Macaca mulatta: one gene and its partner. The protein of the gene in region 2 interacts with the protein of the main gene of each other region in a pairwise test. Links are inferred from orthologs where the notes say so. Each region holds a gene or a part of one and is shown on either strand. Other genes may lie near its edges.

Evidence for each region.
Region 1: the proteins of STX16 (region 2) and VAMP5 interact in binary tests that used the Homo sapiens proteins (3 or more experiments, as listed by UniProt). The two-hybrid records come from large-scale screens. The link is inferred for Macaca mulatta from reciprocal best matches to the Homo sapiens genes STX16 and VAMP5.

The regions. Positions count from the first base shown.
Region 1 is NC_133418.1:38,804,342-38,814,049, reverse strand, and holds the start of VAMP5 (vesicle-associated membrane protein 5), read left to right. Parts: upstream 1-3,839; 5' UTR 3,840-3,910; coding exon 3,911-3,913; intron 3,914-9,708. Other genes in the region: VAMP8 (vesicle-associated membrane protein 8), read left to right, coding at 998-1,138. UniProt on the Homo sapiens protein: May participate in trafficking events that are associated with myogenesis, such as myoblast fusion and/or GLUT4 trafficking.
Region 2 is NC_133415.1:111,440,890-111,450,758, forward strand, and holds the start of STX16 (syntaxin-16), read left to right. Parts: upstream 1-3,520; 5' UTR 3,521-4,257; coding exon 4,258-4,338; coding exon of another isoform or gene 4,339-4,401; exon of another isoform or gene 4,402-4,469; intron 4,470-9,259; exon of another isoform or gene 9,260-9,373; intron 9,374-9,869. UniProt on the Homo sapiens protein: SNARE involved in vesicular transport from the late endosomes to the trans-Golgi network.

The sequences.
Region 1 (9,708 bases), on a different chromosome or scaffold from region 2:
TGACCTCAGGAGATCCATCTGCCTCAGCCTCCCAAAGTGCTGGGATTATAGGTGTGAGCCACTGTGCCTGGCCAAAGCATATTTTATTTAGCAGTTTGCTACCTCAGCTTACAGTGTCACTATTAAGATGTATGGCTTGAGCTGGGCATGGTGGCATGTGCCTATAGTCCCAGCACTAGGGAGGCTGAAGTGGGAGGATTGCTTGAGCCCTGGAGATGGAGGCTACAGTAAGCCAAGATTGTGCCACTGCACTCCAGCCTGCACTGGGTGACAGAGCGAGACCCTGTCTCAAAAAACCAACAAACAAGGCCAGGCGCCGTGGCTCATGCCTGTAATCCCAGCACTTTGGGAGGCCAAAGCAGGTGGATCACCTGAGGTCAAGAGTTCAAGATCAGCCTGGCCAACATGGTGAAACCCCATCTCTACTAAAGATACAAAAATTAGCTGGACATGGTGGTGCACGCCTGTAATCCCAGCTACTCAGGAGGCTGAGGCAGGAGAATCGCTTGAACCCGGAAGGTGGAGGTTGCAGTGAACTGAGATTGCGCCACTGCATTCCAGCCTGGGCAGCAGAGTGAAACTCTGTCTCAAGAAAACAAACAAACAAACAAACAGATGTCTGGCTTGTAGGCCGGGCACAGTGGCTCACACCTGTAATCCCACCCCAGGAGGGCGGATTACTTGAGGTCAGGAGTTCAAGACCAGCCTGGCCAACATGTGAAATCTCATCTCTACTAAAAATACAAAAGTTAGCTGGGTGTGGTGGTGGGCACCTGTAATCCCAGCTAGTCAGGAGGCTGAGGCAGGAGAATCACTTGAACCCAGGAGGTGGAGGCTGCACTGAGCCAAGATCGAACCACTGCCTGGGCAACAGAGCAAGACTCCATCTCAAAAAAACAAAAACAAGAAAGTTTGGCCTGTGGGTTGTACTTGTACTTATACTCTTGTTCCAGTGGGAGGAGCCACTGGGTCACTCACTCTGCCTTTTCCTCAACAGTCTGAGCACTTCAAGACGACATCGCAGAAGGTGGCTCGGAAATTCTGGTGGAAGAATGTGAAGATGATTGTCCTTATCTGCGTGATTGTTTTTATCATCATTCTCTTCATTGTGCTCTTTGCCACTGGTGCCTTCTCTTAAGTAATAGGGAACCTCTCCCACCTGCCCTTCTCTTCAGGGACAACCCTCTGTAAATGGGTGCCAAGAGGGTCTCCTTTCCTGTCCTCCTCTACAGAGAATGCTGCTCGGTCCTCCTACCCCTCTTCCCGAGGCCCTCCTGCCGTGTTGTATGCCCCAGAGGGTAACTTGGTCCCCCAGAAGGAGAGAAAAAAGAGAGCTGGACTGCGGATGCATTTCATGGGTCCTTAGAGTGGGCTGGAGAGACCTAGAGGGCCCAGCATGTGGCTGGGAAACTGCTGGTGGCCAGTGGGCAATAAAGACCTTTCAGTATCCCTATATGTGTGAGTCACTTTCTCTCTTCCCATTTTGCCTTTGGCTTTTCTATTTCTTTTCTTCCCAAGGATACCTTCTGGCTGAAATTCTCTCGTTTGAGGTCCAAGTGGTTTGAAGGGCAAAGAGTGTATGTTTGGAGAAGAAAGATGTCTTTCTTTATTCCTCCCGGTTCCATTCATTGTCACAGGTCTCAAGAACAAGAATTTTCTGGGAGTCTTGGCATATGGAAAATTCAAAACCTTCATAGCATTTTGGGGTGGTACGCAAGATTTTTAAGTGTTCCCATTGGGTCCTGCCATGGCCCTGTAGTACTGTTCTTCTGGAATTGTTAGCTGAGGCATGAAGCCTACCCGGACAGGGTGTTTAAGAGCTGCTTGAAGGCCTCCTGCCTCTTCCACCAGAGCCATCTCTCTTCAACGACCGTGTAGTCTAGAGCCGAGGGGTGGAGGAAATGGACTGCTGTTCCTTTCCTTGTGCTTTGTATGTTCATGTTCTATTTGTCTTTTCTCTGTCCTTGTCTTCTGGGACTTAGCAAGGCCTCTGGGTCTTAGTTATCCCAAGGGGGCAAGCATCTCTCCTCCGCATCCCATGGCTGGGCATAGTCAGTCAGTGTCACAGGACAGGGCCAATGGCCCTCCTTCCCCTCCGTGCACAATGAGCCTTTCTGTCTTCAGGCCCCCCTCCTCCCTACCAGGTTCCACTATCACTGTTACTTTTTCCAGTGCCCAGTCTGCCTTGGTTTGCAGGGAGGGTTCTTGCTATCTCTGTTCCTGTTTCCTCTACAGGTTTTCCAGCATTGGAAACAACCTGTTGTCAGGAGGAAGGGGAAGGGTTGAGAGTCAGGATTTGGGACTAGATTGGCAAGTCAGGCTCTGGAAGAATCAGGCTCTGAAGCAGGGAGGAGGAAAGGTCAGAAAAGACCCTTATGAGATTTTTATTTTTATTTTTTCAGGGATAGGATCTTACTCTGTTGCCCAGGTTGGAGTGCAGTGGTGTGATCATGGCTTACTGTAACCTCCACCTCCTGGGCTTTAGAGATCTTCCTGCTTCAGCCTCCCTTGTAGCTGGGACCACAGGTGTGTGCTACCACACCTGGCTAATTTTTGTATTTTTAGTAGAGACATGGTCTCACTATGTTGCCCAGGCTGGTCTCAAACTCCTGGGTTCAAGCAATCCTACTGCCTTGGCCTCCCAAAGTGCTGGAATTACAAGTGGGAGCCACCGTGCCCGGCCTTGGGGTAGTCTTTGCTACATATATTAATCCTTTCTCTCCTGGATTCAAGGTGTAAGGAACTGAAGTGAAGCTTCTGCCTTGGGACCCAGGCTGTCCAAGGTGGGGGGTGAGGGTCTGTGAAACCCTCTTGGTCTGGGACTTCTGTATTCACAGAGGCTTAGCCCCAGAGAGGGAAACTTTCAACTCTGTTGGTCAAGAGATACCTTATTTGAGGGACTAGGCCCAGTGGCTCACACTTGTAATCCCAACACTTTGGAAGCCTGAGGCAGAAGAACTGCTTGAGGCCAGGAGTTCGAGACCAGCCTGGTCAACATAGTGAGACCCTGTCTCTCTCTCTCTCTTAAAAAAAAAAAAAAAGAGGGACCTTATTTTAAGATGTCTGAGGCAGCTTGGAGTAGTGGAGAACAGGTAGCTGGTGGTTTCTCTGCAGCAGTGAGAGGAGAGGATGGGTAGATTCGGCTCAGGAAGGCTCTGAAGTGGTAGCAGACACACCACCCTCCCCCATCTTCTGACTGAGGAGCAGGTGCATGGCAGGTGCATGCCAGCACAGAGCTGCACTTGCCCTCATGGTGAGGAGAGACATACAGAAAGGCTAGAGCTAGTACTTTGCCCATGTGGGGCTGCTTTCTTTTTGAATAGAGGCGAAAGTCACATAACATACAGTTTATTATTTTAAAGTGTACAAATCAGAAACATGTATTCAGAATGTTGTGTAACCACCACTTGTCTTTAGTTTCAAAACTTTGGGGGGGCCTGTTTTTGATTCTGGGTGAGATGCACTCACCAAGGTGACAAAGACCCTACCTGGCTTGTTCATGGTGTCTCCAGGACCTAGCGTGGTGCCTGACCGTGACACTCATAGGGTGTTTGTTGAGTGAATGAATGATGCCTCTTCAGCTAAACCCGACCTAGGAGACTCCAGGGCTCACTCCACTGTGCCCATTCCACAGATCCGGCCCCGAGGTGTGCCCGTTCACCCAGCTGAGGTGTCACCCGAATTCAGGCTCCTGGGGCCCGGGAGGAGGCGACTCTACGGACCCGGGTCGCTGTGGCCCATCGCTTTCGATTTGACTCAGTTTCGGTCGCCACTCGCGGAAGGCGCGCCCCCCGCCCTCTCTCGGCGGCCCGCCCTGCCCCGCCCCTGCGCTTCCTCCGGGACCGCTGGCACTGCGGCCACTCAGCCGGCAGAGAAGCCGGGAGCGGGCGAGGCGTCGGCGGCAGCGGCGATGGTGAGGGCCCGGGCGGGGCCGGCCAGCCCTGCGACGGGCAGAGGGCGAGTGGCGAGGGTGGGAGAAAGGAGTCCGAAGTCCACGGGCCGGGGCGTAACCTAGGGCCCATGCGGGTCAGACCCGAGGCGGTGACCACGGCCGGAGCAGGATGGGGCGGACCCTCCACTCCCCGCGGGCTGCCTGGGAGGGAAATGCTTGAGCCCCGTCCTGGCTGCACCGCGCAGAGCGAGCGGGGCCCGGGCTCCCCATTCTCCTGAAGCGAAGCGGTTAGGAGCACCGACTTTGGAGGACTCCGGGCTGGGATCCCAGCTCTGTGACCCGGGGCGAGTCACTTAACCTCCCTGAGCCTCCTTTTCCGTATCTGTGAAGTGGGGTCAGTAATACCTGCCTTGTTGGGTCCTTGCGAGGTTAAAGGAGACACAATGGCAGAGACCCGCCTGGCACTCAGAACCCACTGCTAAGAAGTGGTAGGAAATGTAATGACCTCGTCAGCCCTTTCCGCAGCTGTGAGGAGCCAAGCCTGGCTCAGGAGTTGGAAACTTGAGCAGATGGGGTGGCAGAGGCCATTCCAGCCCCATGGCAGGGTGTTGGAGGCCTAACTCCTCCCCTAGAGAAAGAGAAAGGGAGATGTTTACTCTGAAAGTTCCACTGAAGTTATCAGAGTGTGGCACAGGCCTGACTCCCTGCTAACCTCTACCTAGTGACACATTCCTGAGTTGAGTCACCCCCCACTCCTGCTGCATATCCTGGCCTCTGTCCTCACTTGCCATCTCCAAGGCGAAGATGTCAGGAACAGCTGGTGCCAGTTTCCCCCTTTCCCTAGGGCTCCTGGGAAGATGGACTGGGCAGGAAGTAGGCTTGGTGCTTTAAGATTTTGCCTTGGAGAAACTGACAGAGGTGTGATGGATGTGGCCTGGCTAGGGGTCAATGCCTGGATGGCTTCATCTCCAGGGAATTTGGAGGCAGGAAGAGGAAGTGGGGCAGGAAGGTAGCACTGAGCTCTGAGGCCATGCCGGGAAGCTGGGGAAGGCTCTGAGAATAGGGCAGAGCCCAGAGCCCACTTCAGGGTGTGCAGGGCAAGGGGTCAGGCAGGGGTAGGGGTGGGCTTCAGTCGGCCCTTAGCTCTTGGGGAGAAGCTCCTGAAGTGAAAGGTGAAGGCAGGATAATTTATTGGGGGACAAGGGTACTGGGAAACCTGGGGATTCTCACGGGTACATTTGAGGCAGTCTGTGGAGGAGAGCCTGGGGAGGTCGCTCCTATACCCATCCATCTCCTAGCCTCTTCCTGTTTCTTCTTTCACTATTGCCCCTTTCTCACCCTAGCTCTTTCCCTTCCTTCCACCCATCCCCTTTCCCTCCCTGGTCCTTCTTCCTTTTACTTTTCTTTTATTCTCTATGACTCATTCAACCAACAAGGATTTCTTGGGCATGTCCTTCATGCCAGCATGGTGACAAGTATAGGGGACAGAGCAGGAACAAAGTAGGATAGGAAAGATGGAAATAGAATGAGTAATTACCTGAATTCATTAATCTTGTAGATGATCCTCTCTCCAAAGAATGTGTGTGTTGAGCCACGGGCCTCCCTCATATGCACACAAATTAAGTTGGTAGCATCAAAAGGTTTGGTGGTTCTTTAGCCAGTCAGCTAAAGTGTTTGACCTCCTTGTACCTGTATCTAATTTAGCACACCGGTTATGAATGTGATGCCTGGAGTCTGTGTTGGTTCAACTCCCAGATCTACTTACTGGCTCTGTGATCTTATACAGGTGATTTAACACCTCTGAGCCAAAGTTTCCTATAAAACTGGGAAAAGGCCAGGCGCAGTGGCTCACACCTGTAATCCCAGCACTTTGGGAGGCCAAGGCGGGCAGATCACAAGGTCGAGAGTTCAAGACCAGCCTGGCAAGGATGGTGAAACCCTGTCTCTACTAAAAATATAAAAAAATAGCCGGGTGTGGTGGCACGTGCCTGTAGTCCCAACTACTCGGGAGGCTGAGACAGGAGACTCACTTGAACCCGGGAGGTGGAGGTTGCAGTGAGCTGAGATTATGCCATTGCACTCCAGCCTGGGTGACAGAATTAAGACTGTGTCTCAAAACAAAAACAAACAAGCAAACAAAATAACTGGGTTAATAATATGGTCTTCAATGGGTTGTTGGGTGAAGATTAAATGAGGCAGAGCAAATGAACAGCAAGCAGCATAGTGCTTAGCTCAGAGTATGTGCCCATTGAATGGTGGCTGTTATTCTTGCTCAAGATGTAAAACCTCAACAGCCTGCAGTGCCAGATGAAAATAAACTAGATGCTGGTTACCAAAGGCCCATGTAAAGTTCTGAGCTACGGGTTAGAAACAATTATGTGTACTATGTGTACAAGTTTGCCACAGGGAAGAGCTTGCTTGGCTGTGCATTTTGTAAAACGAAGAGGTTTTATTGACCACATGTATTACACAATTTTTTTTTTTTTTTTTTGAGATAGAGCCTCGCTCTGCATCCAGGCTGGAGTGCAGCGGCACAATCTAGCTCACTGCAACCTCTGCCTCCCAAGTTCAAGTGATTCTCCTGCCTCAGCCTCCCAAGTAGCTGGGATTACGGGTGCCTGCCACCACGCCTGGCTAATTTTTGTATTTTTAGTAGAGACGGGGTTTCACCATATTGGCCAGACTGGTCTCGGACTCCTGACCTTGTGATCTGCCCGCCTCGGCCTCCCAAAGTGCTGGGATTTCAGGCGTGAGCCACCACGCCTGGCCATATTGTACAATTCTTGAGATCTGACTGCTAAAAAAAAAAAAAAAAAAAACACAAACCGGAGCTAGGGAAATGTGGGCCACATCAATAATAATAGCCCTTATTTATTGAGCATTTAGTATGTGCCAGGCGTTGTGCTAAGCTTTTGATTTACATCACAAATGAATATGTCACATAATCCTTAGCTAACATTGTAAGAGAAGTCATTATTATCAGCACTTTACAGGAGAGGAAATGGAGGTCAGAAAGGTCATATCCTCAGTCTCAGTCACTCAGCTAGTGAGTGGCAGAAGCAGGATTTCAACAGAGGGGTGCAAAGCAGAGCTCTACTCCTAGTCTCTGAGCTGAGTGCTGACTTAGGGAGGCGATGTTATACCAGTACTTGCGCCCATTTATCTGACGACAGTTAGAACAGAGTTTCTTGGATACTAGACAGGAGACAGGGAGACAAGGAGAGTTAGGATAGGGAGGTGTTTTTTGTTTTTGTTTCTTTGTTTTTTTTGAGACAGGGTCTCACTCCTTCGCCCAGGCTGGAGTGCAGTGGTGCAATCTTGGCTCACTGCAGCCTCTGCCTCCCAGGTTCAAGCAATTCTCCTGCCTCAGCCTCCCGAGTAGCTGGGACTACGGGCAGGCACCACTTTGCCCGGCTATTTTTTGTATTTTTTGGTAGAGGCGTGATCCGCCCACCTTGGCTTCCCAAAGTCCAGGGATTACAGGCATGAGCCACCGTGCCTGGCCCAGATGGTGTGGTTTTGAGAACTACATTTTCAAAGCAGGAATCAAAGAGATTGAGCCCAGAAAAACCTGAAAGGTTTGAGTGTCATAGAGGGGTTATTCTGTACAGGGGGCAACAGTCTGTCAAGAACATTTCCTGTGTAACTGCCACTCTCTGGCAATGACACAACTGCTCCCCGCTTGCTCTGGCTCAAAATTCCAAGCCCTGCAGGCTTCTGGCCTCAGGTCTCAGAAATGCCTCTATCACCCTTCTTCCTTTCTCCACGCTCTGCTCGTCACCTCTCTCTGTCCTGGTGGGCATCTCCTCACAGCCTTGCTGATGGTACTTCTCCACCCCTCTGGCTGGCCTCTCTGCCGGTTTCTTACTTCTATCCATGCCTGTCTACCACCAATAGAGAAATTATCCTGAAGCACTTCTTGACTGTCACCCTTGACTCAAAAACCCACACTAGCTCTTAAGTTTTATCACTCACTTGGAGCCGGTCTTCTCTACCTGACCTTTTCTGCCTTCTGTAGCCCCACCCTGTCCCGCCCATCCTCTGCCTGGTCCTCACTGTCAGAGTGTATCCCTCTCTCTCAGTGCCAGAATGTCCCAGCTCCATGCCATCCTTCAAGGGGTCAACCCCCGCAATGGCACCCTCTCTGTGGCAGCTCCGACACTTACTATCTGTATCACACAGTGTAACTCTTTCCTCTTCTCTAATTGTATTACATATGTATTTTCCCCAGGGCAAAGTGGTCTCTTTAAGAATAGGCACAGTTAGGCCAGGCATGATGGTTCATGCCTGTAATCCCAGCACTTTGGGAGGCTGAGGTGGGAGGACTGCTTGAGCCCAAGAGTTCAAGACCATCCTGGGCAACATAGGAAGACCCCATCTTTAAAAATATAGGCACAATTGGCTGGGCGCGGTGGCTCACGCCTGTAATCCCAGCACTTTGGGAGGCCGAGGCAGGCGGATCACAAGGTCAGGAGATCGAGACCATCCTGGCTAACACCGTGAAACCCCGTCTCTACTAAAAATACAAAAAATTAGCCGGGCGCGGTGGCGGCGCCTGTAGTCCCAGCTACTTGGGAGGCTGAGGCAGGAGAATGGTGGGAACCCGGGAGGCGGAGCTTGCAGTGAGTTGAGATCTGGCCACTGCACTCCAGCCTGGGCGACAGAGCAAGACTCCGTCTCAAAAAAAAAAAAAAATATAGGCACAATTCATTCAGGAACTGTTTATCACATATCTGCTGTCTGCGGACATTATGCTGAGTTACCGTGTGGCATAAGGCAGTGTGACCCTTGTCCTCTTGCTTACCTCCTTCCAGGGTCCCTGGAGCTTTATTTCTCACCGTGCTAGCAGAGACCTGTGGATATAGGCAGGGTCCTTTTTCCTCTGGTTGAGTGGGGGCCAAAGAGGGCCCGAGACTTGAGTCTAAGGCCTCTGTGTTCCCTGGAGTGAATGTGTTCTTTTAGGCCTGGGTCCATCTTGGCTCCAGGCAGGCCTGGCTTTGCACTGGGGGAGACTGGTCCAGATTACAGCTGGAAGCACAGCCAGCCCTCTGGAGAATGTGACCCCAATATCACCCCTTGCTGAAGAATAAGGTAACAACAGCTGTAGCATTTAGAATATGTATATATAAAAAAAGATAATATCCAGTATTTTCCCTGTCTCTACCAGTGACTCTTATTTTCGAGTCTTTATCCATTCTCAAGTTTTTGCTTTGGACTCTTTATTTTTATTTTTTTATTTTTATTTTTTGAGATGGAGTCTCACCCTGATGCCCAGGCTAGAGTGCAGTGGCGCAATCTCAGCTCACTGCAAGCTCCGCTTCCCGGGTTCACGCCATTCTCCTGCCTCAGCCTCCCGAGTAGCTGGGACTACAGGCGCCCGCCACTACGCCCAGCTAATTTTTGTATTTTTTAGTAGAGATTGGGTTTCACCATGTTAGCCAGGATGGTCTCGATCTCCTGACCTCGTGATCTGCCTGCCTCGGCCTCCCAAAGTGCTGGGATTACAGGTGTGAGCCACCGCGCCTGGCCTTGGACTATTTAATTTTATTTTTTGCTTTGTTTTGTTTTGTTTGCTGAGACGGAGTCTTGCTCTGTTGCCCAGGCTGGAATGCAGTGGTGTGATCTCGGCTCACTGCAACCTCCACCACCCAGGTTCAAGTGATTCTCCCACCTCAGCCTCCCAAGTAGCTGGGATTACAGGCACGCACCACCATGCCTGGCTAATTTTTGTATTTTTAGTAGAGACAGGGTTTCACCATGTTGGCTGGGCTGGTCTCGAACTCCTGGCCTCAAGTGATCTGCCTGCCTCAGGCTCC
Region 2 (9,869 bases):
CACCCTCTTCCACATGAGCGTGCACCACAGACACATCTGGATTCCCAAGGTCCAGAACAAGAAGCTCAGAAATGTGCTTAGATTTCCAAGTGTTCAGTTCTCAATATCATGCCATTCTCTTTGGAGTTTATGATGCCTTCCAGGGAGAGCAGAGCCCACGTGAGCTTTCCAACAGCAAGACTACTGTTGTGATAAATCACATTGCCCATTTGTGGAGCACTTACTCTATGCTGAGGTTGCATAAGGGCTTCACAAATCCTATTTCATTTAAATTGTTTTCACCAAAGGTGTGTGTCCCACTGCTGACCTGTTGTGCTAACCATCCCCTCTCAGTACTTGAAAACCTGCTCCTGCCCAAGTCATGGCCTGGCTTCACTGGGGTTCCCTTCTGTACTGAATGAGATGACAACAATGAAACACTTGTCCCCAAAAGTGACTTATTGGATTCGTTGGCAGAATGTTAGAAAGTGGGTATGAAGCCCAAGAAACAGGACGCTGAGCCTCACCAAGCCCAAGGAGTATGACGGAATCTGAGCCCAGGCCAAGAATGAGTCACAATGAAAGCTTTTAAAATGTAAAACCATCAACCTAGATTTCAATTCCAAGGAAACACATACTTGGCCATCGGGGAATGCTTTAAAAAAAAACAAAAACAAAAAATCAAGCTTAAGTTACTTGACAGGAAAATAAAACAGCCAACGAACATTCAAACATAATGATTTACATCCTTCCCCAACTCCCTTCCAGTGTGGGTCAGGGCGAACACGGACCATGGACGTGACTGGAGCCAGGAGTGCATGTCCTCTCTGGGTTTCCTCTTCATTAACACTATTTCAGGCACACAATCCCATACCTAAACACAGCCTGGTTAGAGCTGCACGGTGCTACCTTTGGGCTGTTATGCCAATTTCTTGGATTTTCATGACCTCCCTGCTGTTGGGCTCTTGAGTTGCTTGGGGTGGCTGTTTTGGGAATGCGAGGGTTTTTCTTCCGTTATTTATGTGTGCAAGCAGTGTTCATTTCGCTCAAAGAAATGGAAGCTTGATTGATTTCCTAAATGTAAGAATGAGATTGTCCTGTAATAAATATTTAAGACTGACCAGGAAAGGCGACCACCATCTGCTTAAACACAAGACCAGGAATTATTCTGTTAAGCTTCCTGAACGGAGGGAATGAATGAATAACCATCCTATACAATATTTGCTCAGCACCTGGTAGTTTACAAAGAGTTTTCACTTATCTTATTTGATCTTCACAATAACCCCAGAGAAGTAGACAGGGCACGGATTACGAGGATTACGAAAAACCCACATTTTTTTCTTTCTTTCTTAACAGATAAGGGCTCTAAAGGCTTAAAGCCACTCGAGGGAGGTCAGAGAGTTTGGGGACTAAATCTCAGGTCTCTCATTCATTCATGCACATATTTAAAAAATATTTATCCGGAGCCTGTTCCGAGCCAGATGAGACGGCAGTGGGTACAAAGATGAATAAAACACAGTCCCTGCGTAGGAAGATCACGTTCTAGCCTGGGGGAGAACGCCAGGAAAAGTAAACAAGACCCCCTGCTTTGCGAGGTGATGAGTGCTGGGGAGATAGGAACAGAGTGGGGACCATGTTTCTAATCTGATTCTCCTACCGACAACCAGCTCAGTTGTTATTTACAAATAACTGTCCCCTAAAGGGGCGAGGGGGGAGGCTTGGCCGTGCTGCTGGGGTCAGAGCTCGCGGGGGGATCTGCCGCGGGTGAGGACAGAACTCTCCCTTATTGGGCAAATATTTCCTGGGGCACCGCGCTAAGCACACAGGCTCCCCGAATTTCCCTCCCCAGGGCCTCTGTCTTTGGATGGCCTGTCAGCGCGCCCCTGCAGCCCCCAACCCGGCCCGCGAGGCGACCCGGTCCCCTGTCGCCCGAATCTTCCACCGCAGCGAAGCGTCCCCGGGCGAGTGCCCTGCTCTCCGCGCAGAGCGGAAGCTGGCGGGTTCTCACAGTGAACTCGCCCAGCCCCGCTCGCGGCTCTCTCGATTTTATGTGGGTTTCGTTGTATGCATTTTGTTATTTGCCTCAATGGATATGTTTGACATTAATTTTTAGTTCCACAACGAACGCGCGGGAACGTTCTCCGTGAGAGAAAAAGCACGGCGGGGGGCGGTTACCGGCGTTTTCCCCGGTCGTCTGGGGGTCCCGCACGCGCCCCGCGGGTGCCGCTGTCCGGCCGGGGTCCCTGGGTGAGCCGCGGGCACCGGCTTCGCGTCTCCCCGGGCGCGACTCCGCTTTGCAAGCGCTCAGCACACGGGAAACCCTCGGAAAACACACGTGTGTAAAGTTTGTTCCACGCAGAAACAAAGGACGCGTGGGGGCCGCTTCTGGGGCCTAGGTGTTTTGTTGGAACCCCACTCCGGAGTCCGGCCCGCACCCTCGCCCGGCAAGGGGAAGCCGGCCCTAGACAGACCGGGGGCCCGGAAGGCGCAGCAGCACAGCTCTGCGCCCTCGACCCGCTCCCGCCGAGCGCTGGGCCAGGCCCTTGGCCTCAGGCTTCCCGGGCGGCTCCGGGCCAGACCAGAGCCTCCGTCACTGGGCGCCCGCCTGTTTCTGGGCGCCGTGCTCGGGCCCGGGCAGCTGCTGCCCGACGCGGCCCCGAGGAGCCCCTGCACGAACCCCGCCGACTTGGCCCGGGACGGCAAGCCGGGGTGCTTAGGGCGCCCCGGGCCTGGCCAACGGCGAGAAACCGGGCCCGGGACGCCAGGGGCGCGGGGTGCTCCGGGCCAGGGCCCAGGCGGGGAACAGAGATATTTTTCGCGGGGACGGGGGCAGGAGGTGTCAAAGTTTTCGGGGAACTTTTCCACTTGAGATTCCACGACCCTGTAGTGCCACCTACAGAAAGCGGCAGCTGGGGAGGGCGGGCGCCCCCAACGACCCCCGACTGCCGGCGGCTGCGCGGCCAGACTGCCTGGAGCTTTCGCTTTTTTTTTTTTTTTTTTTTTTTTCCTTTTTTTTCCTCCTGGTTGTTTGTCGGGTACATCTTTTTTCAGAGTGGGAAAAAAAAAAAAAAAAAAAAAAAAAAAAAAAAAGCGAGCGCCAGCGCCTGCAGTAGAGCGTGCTCGGCCTGCAGAGGCAGTCGTCTCCAACTTTTCCTCTCCCGCTCCAACTCCCCGCGCCCAAAACTTCGGCTCTCGGGGAGCCCAAATTTGCCTGCCGCGCAACTTCCACTCTAATGCAGGGACCAAGGGCCCTGGCAGCGGTTTGCAGCCTGGGGGTCACGCTCCCCAGGCTCGGGCCTGCTCGCTGGCCTGCTCCTAGTGCCTAGACCCAGTTGGGGAAGGCGAAACGGGGCGCCCCAGGAGCACCCCGGGAGAGGGCGGAGCACTCTCGTGCCCCGGGGCAGGAGTGCAGGGAGCTCCCGCGCCCGGAACGTTGCAAGCAAGGCTTGCGAGAGTCGCAGGGGGGCACTCGCGAGGGACGGACAGGAAGAGGGCCAGGGGGGACGCCAGAACCCGGGACCACAGTACGGAAACGGCCCGGGGCTGAGCTGCAGTCAGATCCGGGGATGGAGGGAGCCGGAGAAGAGGAGTGAGAAGGCCGGGGAGGCAGGCCCTGCTGTCCTCCTGCAGGCCAGCAGCCTGCTGGCAGTGGAGGACCAGGCCACCCAGGAAAGGAAGGGGTCAGGAGGTCGGGCAGGGCCTCAGCAGGCTCAGACAAGGCCCCAGAAGGGAGCTGCAGGCGCCCTGGAGTCCAGGCCTCAGGCCTGGCTCCGGTTGTCCAAAGAGGGCCTAGGCCAGGCCTCTGGTGGGGAAACTGAGTCACAGCCAGACCTCAGGGCACGGCCTAGACGCTTACGAGCCAAGTTAGGGGTAGAGAGCAAAGACCTTTGGGGGTCTCAGGGAGTAGGGGGCTTCAGGGCCTCCCAGTCCAGAGCTGGATTGGCGAGTTAGACGCTTGTAGATCCAAGGTTGGATTGGGGTGGGGTCTCTGGAACGTTGGATCGCTACGCAAGGATTGGGGGGATTCAAGTGCTTAGAGATCGAAGTCGGTCCTGGGTAGGGGGAGTCAGACAATTGGAAAGCCTAGGTAGTTATTTGGGGAGGGGTCTCTACGCTTTGGCGAAGGGCACAGCTGCGTCTTTTTGGCTTGAAGCCTGAGGCCTTGTCGAGAAGCTTCTGTGAAAGGGTGGGCCGGCCGGGTCAAGAGAAAGAAAGTGAATAAACCAGGAATATAAGTGGGCGGGGGGCCCCTGAGAGGGGGGTCACAAAGGGTGAGACATGGCCACCAGGCGTTTAACCGACGCTTTCTTGTTGTTGCGGAATAATTCCATCCAAAACCGGCAGCTGTTAGCCGAGCAAGTGAGTAGTCACACCACCTCCAGCCCTCTGCATTCACGTAGCATTGCTGCGGTGAGTCTCCCGGCGGCCTCTCCGACACACGGACCGTGTGCACTGCGGCTCTGCCTGTTTGTCTGTCTCTGTCTGTCTCTCTGTTTAATAAAAGAAGATAAGAATAATAAGACTAAGGATAATAAGATCTCTTGGCTAGAATCAGGGGGCATCTGTAACCCTGGATGGGGAAAAAGCGGTGCTGTGAGGCCGCAGCTCCACCTCTGCCTTGTCTTCTCCTCACTTCCGCAGCACCCCCCCCGCGCATCCCCCGCCTTGGCGTCACTGCGCTACAGGCCGCCTGTAATTTACATATGTTTTAACGCTAACATTGGGAAGCATTGGGCCTTTCTGAAGCCTTTTTGTTTCGTTTTGTTTGAAGCTCCCCTCCCCCCAATAGTGAGCCTCAGTTCGGTCCTAATGGCTGGGTCGCGGGACCATGGACCCAAATCCTTGCAAATGAACGACTCCCTCTCCTAAAGAGGAAGCAGTTGTGTTGTTGTTTTGTTTTGTTTTGTTTTTCTGCCCGTTTTAACGGTCCCGCAGCCCTTGTGTGGCCTTGTTCCCTATGAATAATTGTTTCACTGTTCTTCCTGGGGGCTTGGGTTTCTAAGACTCGAGGTGCTAGCCTCTTCACTTTCCATTTCCCAGACGGGAAATTACGCTTTCCTCTCCATTCGAACTTTTTAAAAAAGCCTGAGGAGGTATATGTGAAAATTAACCCTCTAAAATAACATTTTTTTTTTTTTTTTTAAATTAGCCAGAACCTTTAGTTAGCCTAGCAGTAGTGTTTTTTAAGGGTGGTCCTGGAAAAATTACTGTTTCTGGTTTGTTTTTAATGGGGGCTACTTTTCCCTTTCTGAGCCTCAGTTTACTGCTCTGTTAAATAAGGGGCGAGTCTAGATGATCTATACCAGACAGTGATCGTTAGCTCGGTAATGTCTTCAATTGAAAAGTGAAGTTATGAAATTGGCTGTAGTTCAGGCTACCTGCTGTAGGGAGGCTAGGTTGGAATAGAAGCAGCGTTGGAACAGGCGGGTTATAGCCATCCCAGGACCACATTCTTGGGGATTATACTTGATAGGCAATTTTGGAAACCCCGCATTTATTTCACCTCCTAGGGACTGTATTGCCAGTTCATTTTTTTCTTTGTGACTTTATCTAAATGTTTCAGAAAAATTTTGCCATATGTCATGATTATCATGTCTACAAAGACAGTTTCTCCTTTTTGTAAGTCACAAGTGGAGAATGTCTTTGGCCATATAACTGATAGAAAAGTGATTTTAAGCCATATGAGCGGTTTCAGGAATAAAAGCATGTAAACTCAGGTCAAAAAGCCTAGAAACAGGGACAGAGTGTGTGTGAGATTTCAGTTAAGAAGTTGAAGGGTTTTACATTTATAAACTGAAAGGAATGACATTATATTGAAATAAATATAAAGATGTCTGGTAGCATAGAAACGGGCTAATTCTAGCGCTAATTTTGAAGAAAAAAATAAGCCAAGAAATTGAGTAGCAATTGGATGAATACAATTCCTTAATGGTACTTCAGTAATGTTAAATAAGAACTACATGTTCCTTAAATGACTTGATTTTTGTGCTGCCTCAAAAACAACTGAAACTGATATTAAGATTTCTAAGGTATCAGTTTTAATTGATTGAAAAACATATTGTTTATTTTTCAATTTTTAATCATTAAGGTTCAAAATACCCTGAACCTTTGGGTAACATGAGGGTTTTTTTTTTCCCCCATTTAGTCAGATGGTTTAAAAACTTAGTATCTGAGACAGGAAGCTTTTTAAAAGTCCTTCTCTGAATCAAACCACTTTAGAAAATTATTTTCTAAGTTAGGCAATTTAAAAAAAATATTTAAGCTAAGCAAAAGAACTAAAAATGGATAGCTAAAGTATACAGTTTGGAAAAATAGATACGTCAGGATATATACAGATATATTTACCTAACTCACAGTTTTTTGAAAATGATTTCTAAACCCAACTAAAAATATATTTCTAAGTCAGAACATTAAAAAGTGTTTTCTAAATGTCATGCCATTGAAAATGTTAATATTTGTATTAGTCTGACCATTTAAAATCTTTCTCAGATCATTGAAAGCAGCCATATCATTTAAAATATCCTTATAGTCAATTCATACTGTTTAAAAAATAGGTTTTGCATTCTAACAAACATAGTTTTCCTGAATTAAAATTTTAAAAGAAAACACAGATTTATATATTTTAGTTGTGTTTAAAAAAATGGCATGTCATAAATTTCTGAAGTATTTAGGGTTGAAGTGTTACGTCTTCACTTTGCTTACAGGTGATCTTACAAAATCTATTTCTGCACACAATACGGCGAAATGCTAACAAGACCACATAGAGGTTATGATTTTTTTCAGCTTATCTGGAAGTTGGAAAAGCTTTATAAACGTTTTGAAGCAAAAGCCACGTCTAACACAATTTGTAAAAACTGTATTGAGTAACTCTTAGCAATGCTTTTCACTGCATATCTAGCTCATAAAAAATTTAAAGCCTTGTTTCTGATTTGTAAATTTCAAAGCCATGTAGCAAACCAAACAATACCATATCTGTCAAATTTTGAATATGGACTAGGTATTAGGTGACATTAAAGAATTAATTAAATTAATTATAATACACTACATTTGCTAATTTTACTAGAGATGCCTACTAAAATGTTTAGTGGTGAAATGTCAAGGTGTCTTACCTAAATCCTTAAACCCCTCCAAAAACAGAGGAAGCAAATAAGGCAAATTGTTACTCATTGTTGAGTCTAGTGATGAGTATGTGGGGGACATTTTACGTAATTTTGTAGGCTTTTCTACATGTTTGAAAATTTTTAAATAGAAACTTAAAATAAGTATATTCGTTATAGTAAAGTAGAACAGTTAAAAAGAGACAATTTGTAAATATATATCTAACACTCAGGCAATTTGAAAGGAAGAAACTAAACCTGAGTTTAACTTAATTTAAAAAATAATAACCTGGAATTTTTTAAGTTTCTAATTAGAAGAAAAAGCTGTAGACTTTGATCTTGATGCATTTGATACCAACTAAAAATACACCTAAAATAACAGACTTAAAAAAAAAAATTATAACCCTGAATTTTGACATCTTTATTTCAGGAAAAAGCTGCAGAAATTAATTGCAGAGTAGTATATCTCTTACACCTCAAAGCAAAGCACACCTTTAGCCATGTCATGGCTTTAGCCATGTCATTCAAAAGATTTAAACATGCATTTTTTGCATCCTAGTTTGAGGGGAAAAACTAGAATTTGGTTGTTGTAGTGGGGTTATTGTGTGTACCTGTGCGTGCATACAGGGTTTTGCAGCATTCAGGCAAATACGTCAAATAAACAGGAATTTAAGGAGGATAGGCAGTGACCAGATAAACACAAAGCCTTAAGGGCCAGAAGGGACCTAAAGGTCATTTGGCCTAGTGTACCCGTTTGTGATAACCCCTTATGCCTGTCTTGTTTGGCCATGTTCTGTGACTATGATGGAAAATGCCAGCAGCTCCACGATTTTTACCACTAAAAAGTCTTTGCCTGTTTATCCCAACTGTTTGTGTCCTGGGGTCCTGCTTTTAGTTCTGTTCCTTCGGGTCTTCCTTCTGTCTGGTAACCCTGCAGCCTTGTTACCCAGAGTTCTTTCCAGGCTTAGCAGTCCCGGCTTAGAGTGGTTACGTTTCTTTCCTATAAGTGATGTTTAGTTTTTCTGTATCCTTTTTAAAGTTCAGCACCCAGAACTGAACAAAATTCTACTTTTTTTGTGTAATTAATTGTATTAATGTTAGTAAAACTGATTGTTAAAAACAGAGGGGTTTGACTTTATACACTCCTAACAAAATGCAGTTGTATTTCCCATGCATTTTGCTCTGGCCTCAGTTTTGAGTGCCCCATCACGTTCATGCCTCAGGGCAGCATGAAATAAAGGAAAGAGCACTGAGAATTGAATCTGAGAATTGAGGCCTAAATCCTGTTCTGCTGCAGGCTCAGAGTGTGTCCTTAGGCAAGCTTTTAATCTTTTTGGATATCTTTTGCCTCATTTGTAAACTGAGGGGTTTGAGTTAGGTGATTTCCAGCCCTATGGATTCAACAGTATTTTCTCAAGTTCTGTTTTAATACATTGTTTCTCCTGACTTTAGCTTTAATTTGAAAAGGAGGAATTCATAGTCAACAGGTTTGTGGCTGTCAGTCCAAGGTTACTGACAGAAATCCTTAGAAGTAGCCTACCAGTACCGTGCAAAAGTAACTTTCACATTATTATGCCAGCCAAGTGCAGGTTTTAAGGTAGCAACTCGTTCAAGCAGCTTGGCCTTAGGAAATTGAAATGGATTTATGAAGCTAAACAATCATTCAAAAAAAATTGTAAAGTCATAAAGAAACGAATGAAAGGTAGATATTGAGATGCTCTTCTGATCTGATGAAATTCTGTATGGATTTGTGTGGTTTCCTTCGATCCCTGGGAATGGATCTAATATAGGGGTTGGAGCTACTTTCTTAGTGTTTACTGCCTAATCTATACTCTGCTTTAAAATAATGCATAATCTATAATGGGAAGCTAGAGTTAATTGGTCTTACATTAGTTTGAAACTTAAGCACATTATTTTTAATAAAATGTGTGCTTTAGGAAAAAAAAGAAATTAAGGATTAACTATGGTTATAAGAAACCTAAGGTTCTTATTCAGGCTTGACTACAATATTAGCTAAGATTTATGGAGAGTTTACTTTGTGCCTGACTCTGGGCTAAGCCCTTTCCATGTGTAAGCTTGGCTGTCTTCACAGTGCTCTATCAAATAAGTACTATTGTTTTTCTCAGATACAGATAAGGAAACAGATTTTAGAGGAGGTAGGAAACTGGCCCAGCATCACCCACCTGATGGTTTGGGGGCTGTGACTGGAACTCTGGCAAACCTGGCTTGAGAGCCCCGTGCTCACCTCCTGGGCCACTCTGGTGTTGACTGCATTTTCAGAACTTGTGTTGCAGATCCTGGAAAATGGAAGGACCTATTGTTTAAAAACAATTTTTTTTTTCTTGCAAGAGGCTAGCATCTTTCTTTATCTCACTTTTACAAACCTTACACAGTCAATTTTAACTTGCAGATTGAAGGTTCTAAGTTTTAGTACAAGCTGAGTCTGTTGGAAAATTAGTTCTCTGTCTTTAGGATCCAAGTATGAAATCATTATATATTTCTCTTTAGATCTACTTGCTTTTCTGCTTTTAAAGATTCCATGGGAGCAGTGAGGCTTACTTTGAGAATAAGGGTACTTTGTTGGATAAAAGTGAAGCAAACTTTTATTTTGGCAGTAACGGAAATAAAGTAAATATCACTATAGTATAGACCTGTGTTTCCAACTCATTTTGCTCAACTTTTCCAGACTTCCTGAGTAAACACAGATGGGTTTCCACTGATTTTTCAGTTTTATGTAGAAAGTTCTTTAGACTATAAATTCCACATGCTACTTGGAGTTTTCAGTATTTGCTT